Neurospora crassa OR74A: one gene and its partners. The protein of the gene in region 3 interacts with the protein of the main gene of each other region in a biochemical or structural test. Links are inferred from orthologs where the notes say so. Each region holds a gene or a part of one and is shown on either strand. Other genes may lie near its edges.

The links. The genes of interacting proteins can lie anywhere in the genome.
Region 1: of the proteins of cpc-3 (region 3) and NCU08277, one has a biochemical effect on the other in vitro, tested with the Saccharomyces cerevisiae proteins (2 studies listed by BioGRID). The link is inferred for Neurospora crassa OR74A from reciprocal best matches to the Saccharomyces cerevisiae genes GCN2 and SUI2.
Region 2: the proteins of cpc-3 (region 3) and NCU04051 form a complex in vitro, tested with the Saccharomyces cerevisiae proteins (2 studies listed by BioGRID, with this or other methods). The link is inferred for Neurospora crassa OR74A from reciprocal best matches to the Saccharomyces cerevisiae genes GCN2 and GCN20.

Annotation. Positions count from the first base shown.
Region 1 is NC_026504.1:2,569,576-2,575,260, reverse strand, and holds NCU08277 (eukaryotic translation initiation factor 2 alpha subunit), read left to right. Parts: upstream 1-3,193; 5' UTR 3,194-3,630; coding exon 3,631-3,708; intron 3,709-3,777; coding exon 3,778-4,148; intron 4,149-4,227; coding exon 4,228-4,464; intron 4,465-4,530; coding exon 4,531-4,777; 3' UTR 4,778-5,168; downstream 5,169-5,685. Other genes in the region: NCU08276 (hypothetical protein), read right to left, coding at 1-1,987, 2,060-2,382; NCU16791 (mitochondrial inner membrane protease subunit 2), read left to right, coding at 5,327-5,583, 5,669-5,685. UniProt on the Saccharomyces cerevisiae protein: eIF-2 functions in the early steps of protein synthesis by forming a ternary complex with GTP and initiator tRNA. This complex binds to a 40S ribosomal subunit, followed by mRNA binding to form a 43S pre-initiation complex.
Region 2 is NC_026506.1:2,567,762-2,573,858, forward strand, and holds NCU04051 (GCN20), read right to left. Parts: upstream 2,818-6,097; 5' UTR 2,653-2,817; coding exon 403-2,652; 3' UTR 240-402; downstream 1-239. UniProt on the Saccharomyces cerevisiae protein: Acts as a positive activator of the GCN2 protein kinase activity in response to in response to low amino acid, carbon, or purine availability.
Region 3 is NC_026505.1:3,166,120-3,174,067, reverse strand, and holds the start of cpc-3 (cpc-3 protein), read right to left. Parts: upstream 4,963-7,948; 5' UTR 4,892-4,962; intron 4,824-4,891; 5' UTR 4,337-4,823; coding exon 4,115-4,336; intron 4,058-4,114; coding exon 1,916-4,057; intron 1,859-1,915; coding exon 1,523-1,858; intron 1,474-1,522; coding exon 474-1,473; intron 416-473; coding exon 1-415. Other genes in the region: NCU01186 (hypothetical protein), read left to right, coding at 5,546-5,615, 5,688-7,864. UniProt on the Saccharomyces cerevisiae protein: Metabolic-stress sensing protein kinase that phosphorylates the alpha subunit of eukaryotic translation initiation factor 2 (eIF-2-alpha/SUI2) on 'Ser-52' in response to low amino acid, carbon, or purine availability.

The sequences.
Region 1 (5,685 bases), on a different chromosome or scaffold from region 3:
TTTCTTCTGCTCAGCACCAAAGTTGTTGTTCATGTTCGGTTCAGGAAAGCGTGACGAATTGGCCCCAAAGGCGTCGGCACCAGTTGCTGAGTCATGGCCATGGTCTACCTTGGCTGAGGACTGGAGGAGGTCGTGTGATGAATCGTCGCCCGGAACACAAATGTCGAGGAAACCATCAATAACATAATAGAGACCAGGATTTCTCTCACCTTGCTCCACCAAGACAGAGCCCTTAGGAAAGAAGACGATCTCAACCTCGTCCTTCATATCGTGTGCGAGTAGTTGAGGATTGGGAACTGGTGACGATGAGCTAAATCCACAAGAGGTAACTGACTCCGTGTCGTTGTCGAACGGGTCGAAGGCATCCATGAAGCCAAAAGCAGTGTGGCCGGGACCACCCCTCGAACGTCGCTGGTCCGTAGGAACAAATCTTGGGGAAGCTTGCGTCGAATCCGGATTGACACTTCCGTTACCGGTCAGGCCAATGGCCCTGAACATGCATTCGAGCACCGACTCTCGGAACATGTCGTCTTCATCAAGGGCTTCCCTCGTGTCAAGAGAGACATGTGCGTTTCGAGGAGTAGAGAAGGGACTGAGATTTCGCTGTGGTCGAGGAGATGTAGCGTCTCGCGCTAGATCAAGCTGCGATGCCGGCCCAGACTTCAACTGTTGCGTATTCGTGAGCAAGTCGCCGGGGCTAGGCATGTCGGGCGATGGGCGTTCTCGACGTGTTCCGAATGCAGGGGTCGCCGTGACGATGCTCTGCCGCCTTTTCGAATATGCCTGCAATGCCACTTCTTTCCGAAGGGAGGCAGCCGAACGACGTCGGCGGGCGGCATGCGCATTGTGAAGAGCAATGCCCTTTTCGACCTCCTTCTCTCCAATTCTTTCCCTTTCCCGCTTGAACTTTTCCTTGAGTCTATCCAAAGCGTCTCCTCTGAGATGATTAGGGAGTTGCCGAACTGTATGCTTCAAGATGTTGCGCTCCATCTGCAATACTTCGCCGCTCAAGCCAAGGTAGTTGTAAGCAGTGGCAAGTGTCACTCTTTGAAACCTCGAAAGGATGACATGAACGATGTGCGCAGTGGCCTTGGGATATATCTTGATCAGACGCCTGAAGGCGCTGGCGGGGATAATGGCTATGGTAGTGTCCACTGTCGCTCTCGCAATAATATCTGGATGGGCTGAAGTGGTATTGAGCCTCTTCGGTACCGGCCGGCGGGGTACAGCAGGACGAGTGTTCACGAGAGAAAGTGATGGTATCCTCGAAGAATCATGAGCTAGGGGAGACATTGTTAGAGACTCAGCCGAAGCCATCCCACGTTGCATAACGTGGTTGTCGGACAATGGGGTACCTGGGATGGACGGGAGGGTATCGTTCGACTGCTGGAAGTTGGCGTTCATAGGATAACCAGGCATAGCGGTGCCAGGAGCGGAAGGCGTTGGGTCGGGGCTGTCGTCGTCGTCGGTGTCATGCATTTGGATATCTTCAGTGAAGAGTGACATGATAGAGAACAGTGATGACATGGGGGCACCGTTCCGCACTTCGGTCAGAAGCTGGTAGCGCTGGCGACCCGGAGCAAAGCCTTCCTCATCGTCGCTCTCGAACGAAGGGCCACTGCTTGAGCGTCGACCATCTCTGGCGGATTTAACAAAGATCTCCACCATACCGTCGACCACAAGACAGAATCCTTGCTCTTCTTCGAGGTTGAGGGTTTCGCCAGCGATCAGCTTCCTCGTTTGCATGCTGCGGGTCAGTTCATGGAAAACCGGCCTTTCCAGATAACCAAAGATTTTGATGGCGCTGAGAAACTCGTCAAAGTAGCTAGCTAGCCCAGACTTTACTCCTTCCTCCTGTGTTTCGGGGAACAGATCAACAGCTGGCTCTTTGCGCTGGGGCTCAGGAGGAAGCCGTGAGTACATGTTTAAGTAGCGATATCTGACTACCCAGGTCACTCCTGCCATCATGAACAACATAATAAGCACACTAAGCATACCGACGGTTAGATCCACCAGCCTTGAGTCCATGTATACAAAATGCGGCTGGCGGATGACTTACAGCGTAGTGGCGTTCATGGTCACCGTCAGACTAGTCGAAAAGATGTTGAACAGAAAGGTGGGTGTAGTGATGGTGGTCAGCTTGATGACAAAGTATAGCACACTCGAGATGCGGTGCAACAGCCAGAGGATGATGGTGAACCATGAAGTCGGGGTGTGTTCGGGAACCACATCGCTAGTAGCTTTCGAGACCGCATCGCTGGCGAGAGCGACGACAGACGAGAGGGCTTCTGTAGGATCGGCGAGGATTGCCGTCGCAGTCGTGGACGTTGTCTCGGAAAGCACCGAGCTCATGGCGTTGCCGAGGTTGCTAAGAGACTCCATTTTCAGAAGCCTGAAGCACCAAGCAAGCAAGCCAAGAGTTACCGGGCGAGCCCGTCGTGTAGATCGGTTCTGACAGAAAGAAGAGAGTGTGTATGTATGTTTTTGTTTTTGTGTTTCCTTTTTTTTATAGGGTTGTAGGTATCGCGGTAGTGTCGCGCCGTCGTCGTGGGGATGGTCGTGAAGAATAGTTGGTGTTCGATCGATCAGCGTGTCTGAACCCCAAAAGTACCGTCGCAACCTGATCAAGACCTATGAGCTGTCCCCTCCCCGATGTGCCTGTGGTTGAAACCCAACTCTTACTACCTGGTCTGCGGTGTCGTCGCTCTGTTCTTTTTCATATCGGTCCAAGTGTTGTCACCCAAGACGGAGACCGTCGAGAAAAGCGAAACGGGTGAGCTCCTCCAAAAGTAACGACATGTGCGGAGGGTTTAGATGAGCCCAGTGTCGTCGGGTGTTGGTCGGCCCTCGGGATTCGTTTGGGTGCCGTGCAAAAGTCGAATCTCCAAGTCGCCGTTGGTGGACAAGCAAGGTTCAGTGATTGAAGCTCCCTAGCTCGACGATGTCCAAGGAAGATTCCAGGCTTATCAGTGACTAACCCCACTGTCGGTTCACGATTGACGTCGTTGTTCCTGCCCACTGAGCTGGCGCTTGGCACAGTGGAGTTCGGGGCAGGTGGAGTAAGTAGAGGTACCTAACCGAGAGCAGGTACCTGCCTTTGCGTACCGTTGTTCCCACCTGGGCTGCTGTGCGCTTCCTTACCTAGGTACCCGACTTACCCCACCTCAAAAAAAAAAGATGGAGCCGCGTCTCACTTGCCGTCACGGTCAGAACGTGAAATTCACCCCTCAATCCGGCGCACCAGCCACAGCCTACTTCGTTCCCTCCCAAAGTGCCCACGCCACTTTTGCAGCCTGTCTGCACGTAATTTTTGGTTGGTACCCGAAAAATACTGCGACGCATCTGGCTAACTTTGAGTGAGTCCTTTGAGCCTCGCTGGACCCTCCGAGAACCCGCTGCCGCAACCAGAACTCGAACTTCCAGAGGACCTTTCCCAGCTGTGGCCACTTGCAGCGAAACTCGGTCAATTTTCTTTCTCGGCCATCAACCCCTCCAGACCATCCACTCGAATTCCATCTCGCCCATTGTCGCGAAGCTCGTCGCCGACATTACCCTCCCCCTTTCAACACCACTAACACCACCACTTATTTCACCGTTTGCCCCGCCCGGGAAAAGGCACCAGTCGCCAACATGTCGCTCTCAAACTGCCGTTTCTATGAGGAGAAGTATCCTGAAATCGACTCGTTCGTTATGGTCAATGTTAAGCAAGTACGATACACTGGGGTCCCGGTGGTGCGCATGCGCATGTGGATGCGTCAGAGCTGACCCCCAGATTAGATTGCCGATATGGGCGCCTACGTCAAGCTTCTCGAGTACGACAACATCGACGGCATGATCCTGCTCTCTGAGCTTTCCAGAAGACGTATTCGTTCCATCCAGAAGTTGATCCGTGTCGGTCGCAACGAGGTCGTCGTCGTTCTCCGTGTCGACAAGGAGAAGGGTTATATCGATTTGTCCAAGCGTCGTGTGTCCCCCGAGGATATCGTTCGTTGCGAGGAGCGTTACAACAAGAGCAAGATCGTCCACTCGATTATGCGCCACGTTGCCGAGAAGACTCTTGTTCCCATCGAGCAGCTTTACGAGACAATAGGATGGCCCCTCAACAAGAAATACGGCCACTCGCTTGATGCCTTCAAGCTTTCGATCACGTACGTCATTCCGGGAAATAGGCGTACAGCTGTGGGACAAAATGGCGGTATTGGACAAGATGCTGACATGGATGTGAAGCAACCCCGACGTCTGGAATGACATCCAGTTCCCCACCGAGGCCGTTGCCGAGGAGCTCAAGACCTACATCAGCAAGCGTTTGACTCCCCAGCCTACCAAGGTCCGTGCCGATGTTGAGGTCACTTGCTTCGGCTACGAGGGTATCGATGCTATCAAGACCGCTCTCCGCACTGCGGAGGCTCGCAACACTGAGGAAACCCAGGTCAAGTGCAGACTTGTGTCCCCTCCCCTTTATGTGTAAGTCTTTGCCAGAAATAGTCTTGCAATGTTGAAGACAGAGTGGAAGCTAATAACTATACACAGCCTTACCAACACCTGCTTGGACAAGAATGCCGGTATTGCCCGCCTTCAGGAGGCCATTCAAGACATGCGGACCAGCATCGAGGCTGCTGGTGGCCACCTTGTGGTGAAGATGGAGCCCAAGGCTGTCACTGAGTCCGATGATGCTGAGCTCCAAGCTCTTATGGAGAAGCGTGAGCGTGAGAACGCTGAGGTCAGCGGCGACGAGAGTGTCAGCGAGTCCGACGACAATATCCCCGAGACCGTCTAAAGCGCCTCTTCATTTTGCAGCCATTCTTAAACGGAGCTATCTTTGCAGGCTCATTGGGATACTCGACACTATTTTGAGGAAAGGTTTAGGGATGCATGTATACAGTTTTTGCGACACAGGGCTGGCGTCTAGGGGATACAAAAGTCCTTCAGGCGGTAGAGGAATCAACCAAAAGATTGCATCAAGCGTATGCCTAATGAATGTGAGCGAGGGACGAGGATTGATGAACACAAGACTTGATATGGATACATAGTCATTTTATGGATGCACTTGCTGTAACTAGGTAGATCTAGGCGTTCAAGGATATGCAGCTACCGGGGCTGATAAGCGATCTCATCGTTTTCTTATCGCCGCCTGCCCGGGCATGTGGCTGCAATTATTGTCTTCTCCATGTTAACACACAAGCTCCGTACTGCTCACTGCCCTGCTCACTGAGCACGTTGAGGCGAACATACGCCCTCTATTTCACAGCAGCATTGCGATTCACAGCAAAGAGTTGCATCGCATTGACATCTTCGGTAGCTCGATAACTCGCTTGGTCGGATAGCGATGGCGGCGCGATGGGGAGCAGGAATTCGGAACGGATTCCTCGGTCAGTTCTCACACTACCTCATTCGCTACGCAACATGGATCCCTCCATTGGTGGTCTTCAACGGCTGGGTTGCCGAGATCACACAAATCAAGGGGCCGTCCATGTATCCTTTCTTCAACCCGCACTACAATGAGTCAACACGTCGGGACATCGTACTGGTCTCTAAGTGGTACCCGGACCGGAACCTCAAGCGCGGCATGATTGTGACCTTTAGGTGAGATCCAAAATCTCATCCTACAGCATCTGGCGTGCCGCATTCGGGGCATTGGTTGGGAACCTGACGACTAACTGTAACCCAGAAACCCACTGAACCCAA
Region 2 (6,097 bases), on a different chromosome or scaffold from region 3:
ATGTTGCGAAGCTGGACACCCAAAAAAAAAAGGTTTGGCATAGTCATGATCTTTTGCAGTTAGGGAGGGCCAACCTCATCCAGGGAAACAAACTTCTCTATAAATGACCCAACCATTACATATATGGTTGTTCAGTCAGAGTTCCCGAGGATGGCCGTATGATTCCTTACCTTGGGCTACTTCACAACAGCAAAAGCACGAAGCAGAAGAATAAGTGAAGCACAAAATCTACCCTAGTCACACAAAACACAGAAACAGAGCATCACAATCTACAACACTTTATGACCGCTTTATCAACCTTGAGATTTTCGCTTTGTACAATCTAACAGCATTTTTTTCCACACCTCCCACCCAACCACTACCACTACCACCACCACCACTTTTCCATCATCCTATCTTATCTTAATGCTTCTTAACAACTCCCGCCGCATCCGCCTGCGCCGCAATCCTCTTCTTGTACGCCTGCACATCACCAGGGAACTTCTCCACTGTTCCGTTCTCGCACACCCACAAGCTCTTGCACACCGTCTGTAACATGGTGACATCGTGGGAAACCATCAACACACCACCCTCAAACTTCTGCAGCGCTTCCGAGAGCGCATCCATGGCCTCGATATCCAAATGGTTGGACGGTTCGTCGAGAACCAAAATGTGCGGCTGCGTGAGCGCCAAGCAGGCAAAGGCCACACGGGACTTTTGACCACCTGACAACAAGGCCATCTTCTGCAGACCTGTGGTGCCGGTGATGCCAAAGGCGCCCAGCTGGCGACGGTATTCCTCGTCCGTCTTTCCTGGGTACGTCTTGGCCATGAAGGAGACGGCCGAGGCGTTGAGGTCGAGGGCGTCGACGTGGTGCTGGGCGAAGAAGCCGATGCGGAGACGGGGGTGCATGGTGATGAGGCCCGAAGTGGGGGAAAGTTTGCCGACGAGCAACTTGAGGATGGTGGTTTTACCGGCGCCGTTGGGGCCCACGATACCGATGCGGGAATCGAGTTGGACGTCCAGGTCGACGTTGCGCAGCAGGATCTTGTCGGGGCTGTAGCCGAAGGTAACCTCGGACATTTGCACAATGGGCGGCGAGAGCTTCTCCACCTCGGGGAACTTGAAGTGCACGCTGTACTCGGTCTCGGGCGGTTCCAGGACAGGCATCTTCTCGAGCTTCTTGATACGCGATTGGGCTTCTGAGGACTTGGCCGCGTTGTACCGGAACTTGTCGATGAAGGCTTGCAAGTGGGCACGCTGCGCCATCTGGTTCTCGTACTCGCGCTTGGCCACCTTCTTGCGCTCCTCGCGCGTGGCGTAGAAGGAGTCGAAGTTGGCGCCGCGGTAGTAGTCGAGCCGCATGGAATGCTGGTGGATGATGTCGGTGGCAACCTCGTTGAGGAAAGCTCTGTCGTGAGAGACGACGAGCACGGTGCTGGGGTAGGTTTGGAGATAGTTGGATAAGAACGTGATGGAGGGGACGTCCAACATGTTGGACGGCTCGTCGAGCAGCAGGAGATCGGGCTCGCAGAAGAGGGCTCGGGCGAGGGCAAGACGCATACGCCAACCACCGGAGAACGTCTTGGTCGCAAACTGTTGGCGTTCTGGCGAGAAACCCAAACCGGCAAGAATGCTGGCCGCTCTCGACTCGGCTTTGTCCGACTCCATTTCGGCAAGCTTGCCCTGGATCTCCCCGAGCTTGTTGTCCTGAACCTCACGCTCCCTATCAAGCTTGGCGGCATCGGCTGAGGTGTCGGCCAACCCGACGCGCTGAGCCTCAATGTCGGCCAACTTCTTGATGATCTCGGCCTGCTCCTTGAGAAGAACCTTACGCCAAACGTCGGCGTCCAAGACGGCCTGGATGGCAGGCGTGTCGTCACCCGTGAGTTCCTGTTCGACGTGAAGAATGGAAATGTGCGTAGGAATGGGAACCTCTCTGCGAGAGAGGGCTCTAAGAAGCGTAGATTTACCGACACCGTTGTGACCGACGAGACCATAGCGATGGCCGTAGGCGAGAGTGAGAGTGGTGTCGGTCAGGATTCTGAGACCACCGATGGTAACGTCGATGTTGTCGATCTTGATGTCCTTGGTCTTGCCGGAAGAGCCGTTCATCTGCAGAGGGTTGACGGCCATGTAGAACTCCTCGTACGACTGAGCTGGATCGACCTGGTTGAGCAGACGTGAGGCCTCATACTCGACCGTCTTGAAGGTCTTCTTGTTCTGCTTGGCCGCAATCTTCCTCTCGGCCTTCTCCAGCTTCTTCTTGTCGACCTTGGACTCGACCTTCCTGGCGTTGGCCGACTCAAGATCAACACCGCCCGTGGCCACGGCCAGAGTCGACGAGATGTTCCTCTGAGCGCTCACTTGGATAGTCTGGTCAAGACGCTTCACAGCCGGACCCCTCTTCTCCTGGCTGTCGTTGGCAGCAGAATACCTGTCCACCCACTTGTCGACCAGCTGACGGATCTTGTCCTGCAGGGCGGCATTAGTACCACCAGAGGCCGAGATCAGCAGGTCGGTGATGGCGGAAGCGGCCTCGACGAGTGGAGACGGGCCGGTAGCATCCTCATCGCCGGACCAGGCCGTTGAGGCATGGGTGAGATAGCCGGCCGAATACTCGGAGATGATCGGGTCGATGTTGGGGAGAACGGTCCTGATTTCGGCCTCCATCTTGGCTATGATGGTCTGACAGTTCGCTGATCAAACTACGGTGAAAACAAACACTGTCGTTTTGTCACGTTTCCTTTGATCTTGAAACGCAGCTGTAGGTAGCCTGTCGGAGTGCGATATCAAAGTGGAGTTCAACTTTTGATACTTTCACGGCGCCGGTCCGCCTCCCGGGTGCCCTCGTCCCTCTTCTGGGCGCGGGGCGGAATTTGCCGCCAACTGACCGCTCGACGGTGGGGTTCATGGGAGAAGCTCTGATTGGTTTGTTTGCACTCGAGGAAGCTAGCTGTTACTGTTAGTGCAGCAGCGCTAACGCCCGCAAAAGGAGCAACATCATCACGAGAAACTTTACCACCAGTGGCATCGAATCCTTTCCCTTTTTAACATCATCAGCACGGGCAGGCACCAGCTTTCTTGCATGGGATATTCTTCCCGCCTTCTAGAACACGCATCGTGCACGGGCAGTACGCAATAAAGCAGTGTAGACCTTCCAAAAGGGAAGGGTACGATCCTGAATGGCCCCGATGAGTTTCGTCCACTTGTCTGGAAACCACCAGGCCTCGGCCCAGGGCCGCATCGCAAGTTTCGCCAATGATGGCACGCCATTAGACACTTTACGAGTTTGTTTCAGACGGCTGACAGTGGTGCATTCAACCAATGCCCACTACCATAGCTACCAATGTCCACTGAATCGAAAAGACATCTGCCTTTGACCATTACACCATCTTGAACACAGGGGCGATCCAAGAAGCCACTTCAGCAATTAACCGCTGCTTGCTCACTGAGTGGAGCGTCACTATCACAGAAAGAAGAACTAAGCGCGAAGGAGCAATTGGAGCAAAAAGAGCCCTGCCTACGTCTAGGTACTGACGAGTACGAATCGTACTGCCCAGTGCCCGGAGGACAAACATGCAAAAGCACACACATGCCCGAAGCCGCTTTGGTGTCGCCTACTATTGATGTCCTTCGCCGCCCATCAAAAGCAGGGGATTTTACTGGGCGTGTAAATTGGAATTGATTCGACCCAACAAATCAGATGTCGCAACCGACGGAGGTTCGATGGTGTGTGCGTGTGTGTGTTTGCCCGCGCGCGGGTGGACATCTCTTCTTCTTATTCTCTATTCGTTTTCTTTGTCTGTCCGGCTGTCCGTCTGTCTCCTTCACCTAGAACTCCAGACAACTCGGGCGAATTTTCTAAGACAAATTACCGACGGCGACCAGCATCACTCATCATCGTCTGATTCAGCCTGCCAGCTGTGTCTACCAGCTATCGCCGAGCTAATCCCTACCTCTTAAGCTCTTACCTACCCTACCCTAACCTGCCCTGTCCCGTTACGGTGATAATTTGTTAGCGAAGCGAGTAGGTAAGTAAGCGATTACCCCCCCTTGCCGACAACCAAAATATAAAACAAACCGCGCGTAAAATGCGGTTACAATGTGTGATAGTCACCAGCGGACATTCCCAATCCCCACTACTACACTGCCTACCTACCCTGGCGATAGCACCATCGAGCGGTGCTGTTTTTTCAGGTCTTACCAAGGCTAAATTGTTGTTGGATGTCTGCTGTGGTTCAACATCACAAACCCTTGCGCAGTTTCAATGAACAAGATTTCATTTTCGCCCTTGGACCTGCCTATCTCCTACCTATCTATCTCTCTACTCGTCACGGGGCGCCGCCATATGTATGTTTCGGAGCAGAATCAGAATCAGAATCAGAATCAGGTAGATGCATGTTTCCAACAGCTGTCGGTCTGTTCCAACTTTCGTGTGTCTCGGACAAAACGGAACGGCCCACGATTAGGGCAGAGACGGCGCAACTGAGTCTTGTGGAGAGAAATCGATACTCAAGGGATCGTTCGCCGCCTGTTTCTCCCCAGTGTCTCGCTAGATGGTTACGAGACTGTGGCTGACACAAATGGCTGGCGGGATGTGAAGTCGAGCAGAGAAAAGAAAGATGATGCAGTGGCTAAAGTTCATACCAGTAGTGGATGGGGGGGTAATTGATCTTCGTTTCTTACCTCCTGTGGAAAGGCGACAAGGTGAACGATGGATGCTTCATAATATCAAACTTCTATATCCTCTAGTGGCGATCAACCCATCTACATACTAGCCTGCACAACAATGCTGTGTTGTGGAAACACAGCAGTTGCTTGTGTCCTTGATGATCTGCATACACTACCTACGCGCTGTCGCCCGCGGCGCAAGATACATCGAATGAGGATGTTCTTTTGTGTATCCCATCATATATATATATGGGTTTAGAGAAAAGAAGTGGTTGAAACGACACCGATAGTTTTTAAAGAGGGCGCTCGTGTTAGGGTATTGAAGCCTGCCGACATGCTGTGCGATGTGTGGATAGTGTAGGTCGCCGCTTCACCAGAATACTCTGGGTGTATGTATGCATGTTCTGGCTCACCCAGGTACGTAGGTCTATTTGCAAAGCCATATATCTGCTAGAGCCTCAAGAGACCGACGTGTGTTTGATGGGTTCTTTGTGTCAATGAGAGGGAAATGAGTAACTGGACGGACGTGAATTATCGCAGTGACCAAAACGTCTCCAGCAATTAAAAATATGTACGTGTTTGTACGGGTACTTGCGCCTTTAACGGGCGTCTAATAACCATTCATCCGTAACGCTGCCGCGGGAAAGGGAAACCGAGCGGCTTTTCGTTCATAAGAGAACGGTCGCTCATTGGTAGTGATCAATCACATTTCCCTCATCGGCTTCGCGCGCAAAGAGAAAGAGATGATCATCGAATATTTGTGGGGGAGTTTGAACTTCAACCTCCAAAGAGGTGAAGGATTCCGAACCATAAACAACCAAACATCACCAAGCAGACGTCCCGCGTTAATACCACCCACTCACTCACTAGTCACCATCCACCACCCTTGTCACCCACATTCTTTTTATAGCATGGCAGCCATGCTTTTTCAGCCTTGTTGCTGCCAAGTTCTGTCGATTTGATTGAAAATGAAAAGGATGTTCGACGTGGACAACTGTCTTCCAAGGGATTGATAACCGCCACGGTCTCATCCATCGCTCAGCTTGCGTGGGAAAGCCACGTTTCGCCAGATCTGTTCACGACATTGGGCCCTTGGTATTTGATGCGCTTTGGGACAATGACAATGACAATGGCAACAACGATGACGACGACGGCATAAAATATAATTGGGTAGCGAGAAATGAGCTAGTATCAGAGTTGGACGCAACCAAACCCGGCCACCCGCGACTGGAAATCTCCCGATCCGAGTCGAGTATTGACAGTTTTCTTGTTATGGGCAGGCATAGATGAACACAATAATGTGTAGTCCAGTACTGAGGTGTATTCTGAGGGGGTTGCTGGCTCGCTAGCTGGCCGGCTAGCAGTTCTGACACGGCTCCACGGCTCGTAACAAATAATCCGTTGCGGTATAGGGATCGCTTACATGCCTTGGCAGGCCAGTCAT
Region 3 (7,948 bases):
AAGAGGCCTTGACTCTCTTCTTCGGCCGCCTTCTTGAGGAATGTTTTGCCGGTGGCCTTCGGGACGGGCTTGGCGAGCTGCTTCTCCCAGTTCAAGCTGAAGCCGACCGCATGGCGCTCTTCAAACCGGTTGCCGATCTTGGGACGATGTTCCTTAATCAAGCTGTCGTAGCGGCCACCGGCGGCGAAGACATCCTTGACCTTTTTGTCGTACAGGCAAGAAAAGAGGATGCCACCGCGGAAGAAGGCTTCGTTGATGCTGCTTAAAGGGGCAATGTAGATTTTGTTTTGTACTCCGAACCGCTTGGTATATTCGTACACTTCTTTGAGATGGGCCAATGTTGATGAAGCCTGTTGGTAGTATTCCGTTCCTTCGAAAAGAAGCTTGATCTTCGCGATGGCCTTGCTCGGGGTATCTAAAACAAGTGGTTAGTTGATGGCGTAAGTATGTTCGTGGTGTAAAGTCACACTTACCTCTGAAGTCAAATCTCTGCAGCTCGTCTACGCTGGTTGCCGATATACCCACCATGGGTGATCTAAGCTCTCCACGCACCTTTTGCCAAGTGAAATTGCGAATGTTGAGCTTACTGAGGACCTCAGCAGCAGCCCTGCGTGTGCCCACTTCCACGCCGCAGTACTCAAAGATAAGATTCAAGAGGTCCGAATGCCCCAGCTGGAAGCAGATGGGAGTAGACGACACAGTAGGGAACGCAGTCGCAATCTCATCCAGAACTTTGATGACCTCGGCCTCTTTCAAGGCAAGGTCTAAGGCGTCTGAAGTGACAATGTCAAAGTCGACTTCTCCGTACACATCAGGCTGACCACCGCCGTGACGATCACGGAATATGTTGCCAAAGGAGTATGACTTCTGAACAACGGGGCTGTTCGTGATCCTTGCGAGAGAGCGAGCATGGCCCATCATGAGATCGAAGGGCAACTGAAGAACCGTACCATTCTGGTCGAGGAGATGGACCGCGTTTTGGCCATAATGCGAAGAGCTGGGATACAGACAGACCGTAGGAGCCTCAACCGCACCGTGTCGCCGGAAGATGGATATCAAGGTGTCCTTGACGATGAACTGTCGCATGAGTTCTTGGGGTGATGGCCCAGATGAAGACATGTCCCAAGCGTAATCCTTTGCTTGTTCGATTGGCCTGGAGAATAAAGTTTCGAGCATCTTTTGGTAGTAAGGTGAGTTGGGATCCGACAATCCAGCAATCGCACGCCGTATCGCCTCGCTTTCCATCTGAATCGGAAGCTTGCCACTCTTCATAAGCTCTGAGCTCGAAGGGCGCTCTTTAGGGTTGTGAGTCAGCAGTGACAACAGGACCTCGAGATGGTTTTTATCCATATGTTTGAAGTCAGCGGGCAAAATGGGAGGGGATTGGCGCAGCTGCTCAAGGACCATGGCGCGCTGCATTCCAAGCATGGGAGGGTACGACATCTCGAAGAAAATCACGCCCAAGGAATACATCTAGGGATGATGTCAGTCTAGTCTTGCAAGGAGGATGGGAAAAACCTACATCCACCTTTGATGTATAAGAGCCGCTGCCACCCGTCCGGACCTCAGGGGCGACATAAACTGCTGTGCCAATGCTCCTGGTCATGTCGCTTGCATCCAAGCTTGCTGTTGACCTGTCTATCGCCAACTGTCCGCTAGTGGCCAGCCCAAAATCGCCGATCTTTACATTATCCAGGCCGTCAGGTCCAGAAGAGATGAAGATATTCTCGGGCTTGAGGTCACGGTGAACGATGTTGAGGCTGTGAATGTGGCAGAGCCCTTCTAGAATTTGGCGGAATAAGCGCCAGATCTCAGCTGTTTCCTTAGACAGATTCCGAGAAATCAAGTCGCGCAGTGTCTATAGAACTGTCAGTGTTGCCATTCGGATTTTGGTTTTGGCATAATGGGAACCTACCCGCTTCTCGCAATACTCCATGGAAATATACATCACGGTCTTGTATGGGCGAGCACTTCCCCGTCGAGGACGCCGTCCTGTGACACCAAGGTGGTTCTTGCCGCTTACAGTGGCAGCATCGTCATTTGAGTCATTGTCGGATTCATCCTCTTCATCGTCTTCATCTTCGTCGTCATCCTCTTCTTCACTCGAGCTGTAGTCGTACTCAATGCCCGGGTGCCCACTGGAGGACATGAAATCTAGACCTCTGCTTTTGCTCTCGGCAAATTCAATATTTATGCCGTGGGATATCGTGACCTGAGAGTTGTCTGTAACGTCTGTAGCGCCGCCTTCGGTTGAAGTATCGCCTTCTGTGTCCGCGTAGTCCGGCACCTCCTCCAGCCATGTATTGTAGTATCTGACAACAGCCGGATGGTTCATCTGGGAAAGCAGTCGGACTTCCTTTAGGATCTCTGAAAGTGTCTCTTGAGACCTTTGTGTGATTTTTTTGATGGCGTATAGGTGTCCGTCAATCATCTTGCGGGCTCGGACAACCTCTCCGAACCCTCCTTTTCCAAGACGAGCCTCTTCCACATAGTCCTGTCGGTATCTGGAAGACATGGGTCCGCGACTCATCGAGTCGTGCCTCATCCTCTGCGGGGTCATTTGCGGCATGGGCATCAGGGAACCCGGCACAGCAATGTCCTCGTCATCGATAATGGGCGCATTGGTAGCAAGGAATTCGCTTGAGCTCAACTCAAAAGCCCGCGGCCGCTTCTTGGGGTCGGACTTGAAGAACTTGGAGACCAGTTCTTCCAGCGGAGCCGACAAGGAAAGAGAATCCATCAGTGCGGAAGGCGAATGATACTTTTCGACAACATCCAAACCGAAGATCATCTGAAGAAAGACGATGCCAAAGTCCCAGACATCGGTCTTTTGAGTGTATTGAGGCTTCGTTACACCTGCAATTTCGGGCGGAAACCAGTATGCGGATTTGGCGGCTTTTGAGGATGTCAGCGTCTTTATCTTTGTACAGAGGTTGTGAAGCTCCCTCTGATAAAAAGAATCAGTGATTTTAGGCACTATATCCCCCGCCTCGTTTCTGTAGAGGAGAATGTTGGCTGGGTGAAGGTCTTGATGAATGATTCCGTTGTTGTGTAGGAATGCAAGTGCTTCCAGAAGGTCGGCCGTCCATATCTTTGCCTTGTTGGTGTCAATATGGCCCGCTAGATCGAGAAGCTCTTCAATGGGCCCCTTGGTGGCGAGGGGCGTCAGAATGCTGACGGTCCAGATGGTCGGCGCAGAAGAATCGGTGTCGCTGATGCCTCGATCGATCCTGAAGTCAAGGAAGGGAAGCAGATTCTGATGGCGAAGCTTTTTCAGTGTTTCCATCTGCGACTCTAGATACTGCAGCTGCTTCTTGAACTGAGCCGAATCCTTTCCGTGTGACTTGACTTCTACTTGCTTCAAGGCTAGGCTAGGGCGCACTGTTCTGGCGGACAGGACTGGTTTGACCTTGTAGACGGTGGTGATGGGACCTTCGCGAAAGACAGTTTTGCCAATGACGGTTTGGAAGAACAAGGCATTACCAGAGCCATCAGTGATCTTGCAGGGCTGATCAAACATGAGCGTCTCGTCAGTCTCGCCGGGATCTTGCGGAGCACGGTCAGGGGATAATTGATGGCTCCTGTTCTTCTTTCTGGATTCTTTTGCTTTATTTCGCTGGCGCTTGAGCTCTTCCTGGAGCATGTCTTCGAGGACTCTTTCTTCCTCCTTGCTCTCTTCGAGCTTCTTCCGTTCCTCTCGCTCCTTTTCGCTCTGCGCTAACCTTGCCAGCTCTGCTTCGTGGGCTGCCCTCTCCTCTTCCAAGGAGGGGATCTCCAGCCCCTGGACCTTTTTCTGAGCGGCTTCCTCCAGGATATCGCGGATCCCTTCGACAATCTGGTCTATCATCTCCTGTTCCGCTTGCGCATAGATCTTTGGTTGTGTCTCCACAAACTTTTGAATCTTGAACTTGGTCGACTCTCGGAGACTGTGGTCATCCTTGATGGTCAGCAGTGGAGGTGTCTTTGGGTAAGTTGCCACCATGACCACGCCCAGTGTCACTGAAAGCTCTTGGTCAGATGAAGGTTTAATCTTGATGTCAAAACGGGGTTCCGATTTCTGGACGTCTGTCAGTGAACAACATTGTGGGAAGAGAAGAGATAAGATAGATCTTACCTGCCATGCCCCGTGTGCTGCTTCATGTTGGGTGAAGTCCTCTCCATAGATGGCCTGCAGCACCATGACTTCACTCTCCTGGACTTCCTGATAATGAGTCTTTGCTGGTGGGGTTTGCCCCGGGGCCTTGAGCCCCGGGAAAGTGGTGTTGCCTTCATTGTTCTTCTTGGGGGTTTGTTGTTGGGCAGGCTTCTTCTTGCCGGCAGGTTTCTTCCACGCCATTATTGCGAGACCCGGTTCTGCTGGGCAGAGATGCTTGTTATTAATCAGTGAGTCTTGTTAGTCGTTGTGGAAAGGGGGTTGGTCTGGTATATTAGGCCTTATGCAACGGACACAGCCGAGATGGCTGCGAGACTTCACTGAGCGGAGCCCATCTTTTCTCGTGGTAGACTGGGTTCAGATGCGGGAAAGGGAAGACAAGGTGGAAGGGCAAGGGTGAAGGTTGGGTGGAAACGAAGTGACGTGGTCAACGGTCGCGTTTCCAAAAGTGAGTGGGAGCAGAGGAGATGGATGGATGTAAGATGGGTGAAGTGGACAAGTGAGTGGGTGACTCGTTGGATGACTCCAACTGTGACTTGGAATGGAAATGAAGACCCGTGAAGGTCCCCAACAACAGGATGGTCCAGAGCCCGAGTCCACGACAACAGCATCCATTCCGCTGTTCAGCTCGAGCCTGGCTGATAAGGTTCCCCCAGCGAGTCCCGATAAACTAAGTACTTTGTTAACTAGGAAGTTCCCACCGCTGTGAGCGGGTACGGGCAGTCCAGTACTACCTACCTCACGACATATGTAGTGTACTTATCTTCACAGCAGGTGCCTAGGCTAGGTATGTAGGTAGCTGGGTAGCGGGTTCCAGGTTCTCAAGGTTCACCGGCCGAGGGATGGATGGACCGTGGCGAACACTTGCAAGTGGGGTCGGAGCAAAGAATACATGATAGAGGCACAAGTGGAGACCCTGCAGTAGGTCCCACTTGGGAATCTGAACCTGAATTGAGATCTTTGCCGCGCTCCCGTCTGTTTGCTTGGAACTGAATGGCACTGGACCACACTGACAGGACGCTGAACGGATGGATGGCGGGACGAGCCATCAGGTCAGCTTCATCCATCCCGTTCGTCCTCCACTTCTCATCCCGATTCTCATTGGCTCCCGTCTGTCCTGTTCAGGGAAAGAGTAAACAAATCACCCACTCGCCCATCAAACAGGATTAGTTCTTCCACTCCCATTGCTCTCGACTCAGCTGCGACACACAACTGCAGCCCGCGAATCCGATCCCATTCTTACCTCTACAACCTCCATCACCACCATCAACCAATTCTCCCACCTTATCGCGCGAATCGTATTCGAGGGGCCTATTTCCCCCATCGCCGACCGCCCAGAGTATGCTGCGCTAGACCTCGCTTCAGCTTCTTCATCCATCGCCGACCGACACAATGATTAGTTGGGCGTTGCGGCGAAACAATAACTCGACTGCGCAAAATGCACAGGGCGCACCCGATGCCGGTACGGTTGCAGGCCATTGCAGGAGCCTCAGCGCATTTATTCCTCATTGTTGAGTCTGACCATTTGGCCCAGATGAATCTACCAACCAGCTCGATGTCCCCGATACTCCAGCGCCGGTCTTCGCTGTGCGCGCCTTGAAGACTGCCTTGTTCGGCACACCCGCCAAAGATTCGAAGAAAACCGCCCCTATGCCCGGTCCTCATCGATCACCGACGAAACCGAACGGCATTCTCTTGACTCCAGGCGTCGGCGCAGCCCGTCGCAAACGCGTTTCCTTTGGTCATGGCGTTAAGGCGGGATCGGCCCTGGATTTGACCGCGACGGGCGGCCTTGGCACTGACGGTCAGGCCTCGAAACCAAAGACCCGATTGACCGAAATTCTCGAAAATTCACGGACCAGGCCGCAAACCGCAGATACTGGTGTCAAGACGTTTTCGGCCGAAGATGCATGGGATGAAGATGATGTCGAGTATTATGACGACTCGGATCTCGAAACAGATATCACAGATGCCACAGTCGATCTCAACGAACCACACTCGCGTTCTGGAAGGTACTGGAAGGCCGAGTTCGAAAAGTATCACGCGGATGCGAGGGCGGAAATGGAGAAGCTGGTTAGATACAAGCAGCTCGCAAAGTCCTACGCCAAACTGAAAGATGCCGAGGCCGTCGACTTGAACAAGAAGCTCAAGGAGGAACAGGAGAGGGTCCAGCAAATGGAGGAGCAAATTGCCGAGATGACGCGCCACGTCAATGTCTATTCGAAGCGAGGTGGTGTCGAGCCCAACAACGGCTTGATAGAAGAGCTTAATCGGCAAAAGGCTTTGGCGCAAGAGTACAGGGCCCAGGTCGAGGAATTGGAAGAGATACTGCGCGAAGATGAAGAGGATCATAATGACTATCAGGCCGGGAGCCATGCTTCATACAAACGACGGATTGCATCGCCAAGAACTCATCGGACACTTTTGGAGGCCCAGCGAGAGCTTAGGAAGGCTAGGTCACAGGTTAGGGAACTTGGAAAGCTTCGGGACGAGCGGGGCCGAATGAAGACTGAGCTAAAATTCGCCGAGCAACGAGCCACCGCACTCGCCGAGGAGAATAAGAAACTCAACAGTGAGGTGGTGCTGAGCAATTTCAAGGTCAAGGACTTGGAGAAACGGCTGGCCGAATCCAAGAATGAGAATCTGGTAAAGGACAATGAACTTCAAAAACTCAGGGCAGATTATAACAAGTTGAAGGAGGACGCCAAATCCCGATATGTCGAAGCGAGGGAAGTTTTGGAAAAGAAGAACGACAAAATATCCGAACTTCAGCAGGAGATTGCAACCCTCAAGGCAGAGACGATCGAGTCCAAGTGGGCGGCGCGGATGAAGAACCTGGAGGCGAAATTGAAAGCGAGCCACGACAAGGTCAAGGAGGCAAATGACCGAGAAGAAGCACTCAAGTTCCTGGAATCGGCCGAGGAGGAGAGCACATTGCTGTTCAAGGAGCTAGATGCTCTCAGGAAAACAAGCATCCAACGAGGGCTTTTGGCTCCCGCACCAGCTGCCGGAGCCCAGAAAAGAATCAGGACCATTACGGGCGACATCAAGCGGTACAGCTACGAGGACGATGCGTTGGTTTCTTCTCGTGCGTTTCGAGAGAAGGTAGAGGCAGACATGGGCAAAAAGCCTCTAGGATTCGGTGAAGCCGCGAAGCAACAAGCACCTTCGTGGACGACCAGCCAGCCTGAGCGGGCAGCCACCTCGCATAGGACAACAGCAGGGACTACCACGACAGCCGGCTCATCTGCCGCTGCCAGGACTCTCCGCACAAAGTCCAGCTTGGAGGACATTCTAGGCAAGAAGCTGAACAAGCCATGGACGAGCACTAAGGCGACGGCAACAGCGGCTGCTAACGCTGGCTCTCAATTGCCAACCACGAGGATGACGCGTATCGCCCGGCCTCTCTCCAACGAAGTGCCCGAGCTCGAGCCATTCAAGGCTCCCACTTCTCACTCCTTCAAGGTGCCGGATCTTGAGCCCTTCAAACCAGATGTGGTGCCGCATTCAAACATTGCGCGTTTGGAAGGGTTTGACATTGACAGCAGCTCTGTCTGGAACGTCGGTAGCATAACACCCCCTCCGAAGACGTCCGCATCCACAACACTTCCCGCAGACCGCCGGGCAGCAGCCATTGCTCGATTGCAGCGCAAAAGAGCCGAAAGGGAGAGGGGTCTGGGCGACAGGAATAAGGAGAACCTGTGGCCTTAATAGAGGTATGCATACCACTTATTCTTCGTGGCGATAATGTCTGTAGCTTCATATGTACATGGCGGGCAAACGTGTGGCAAGGGA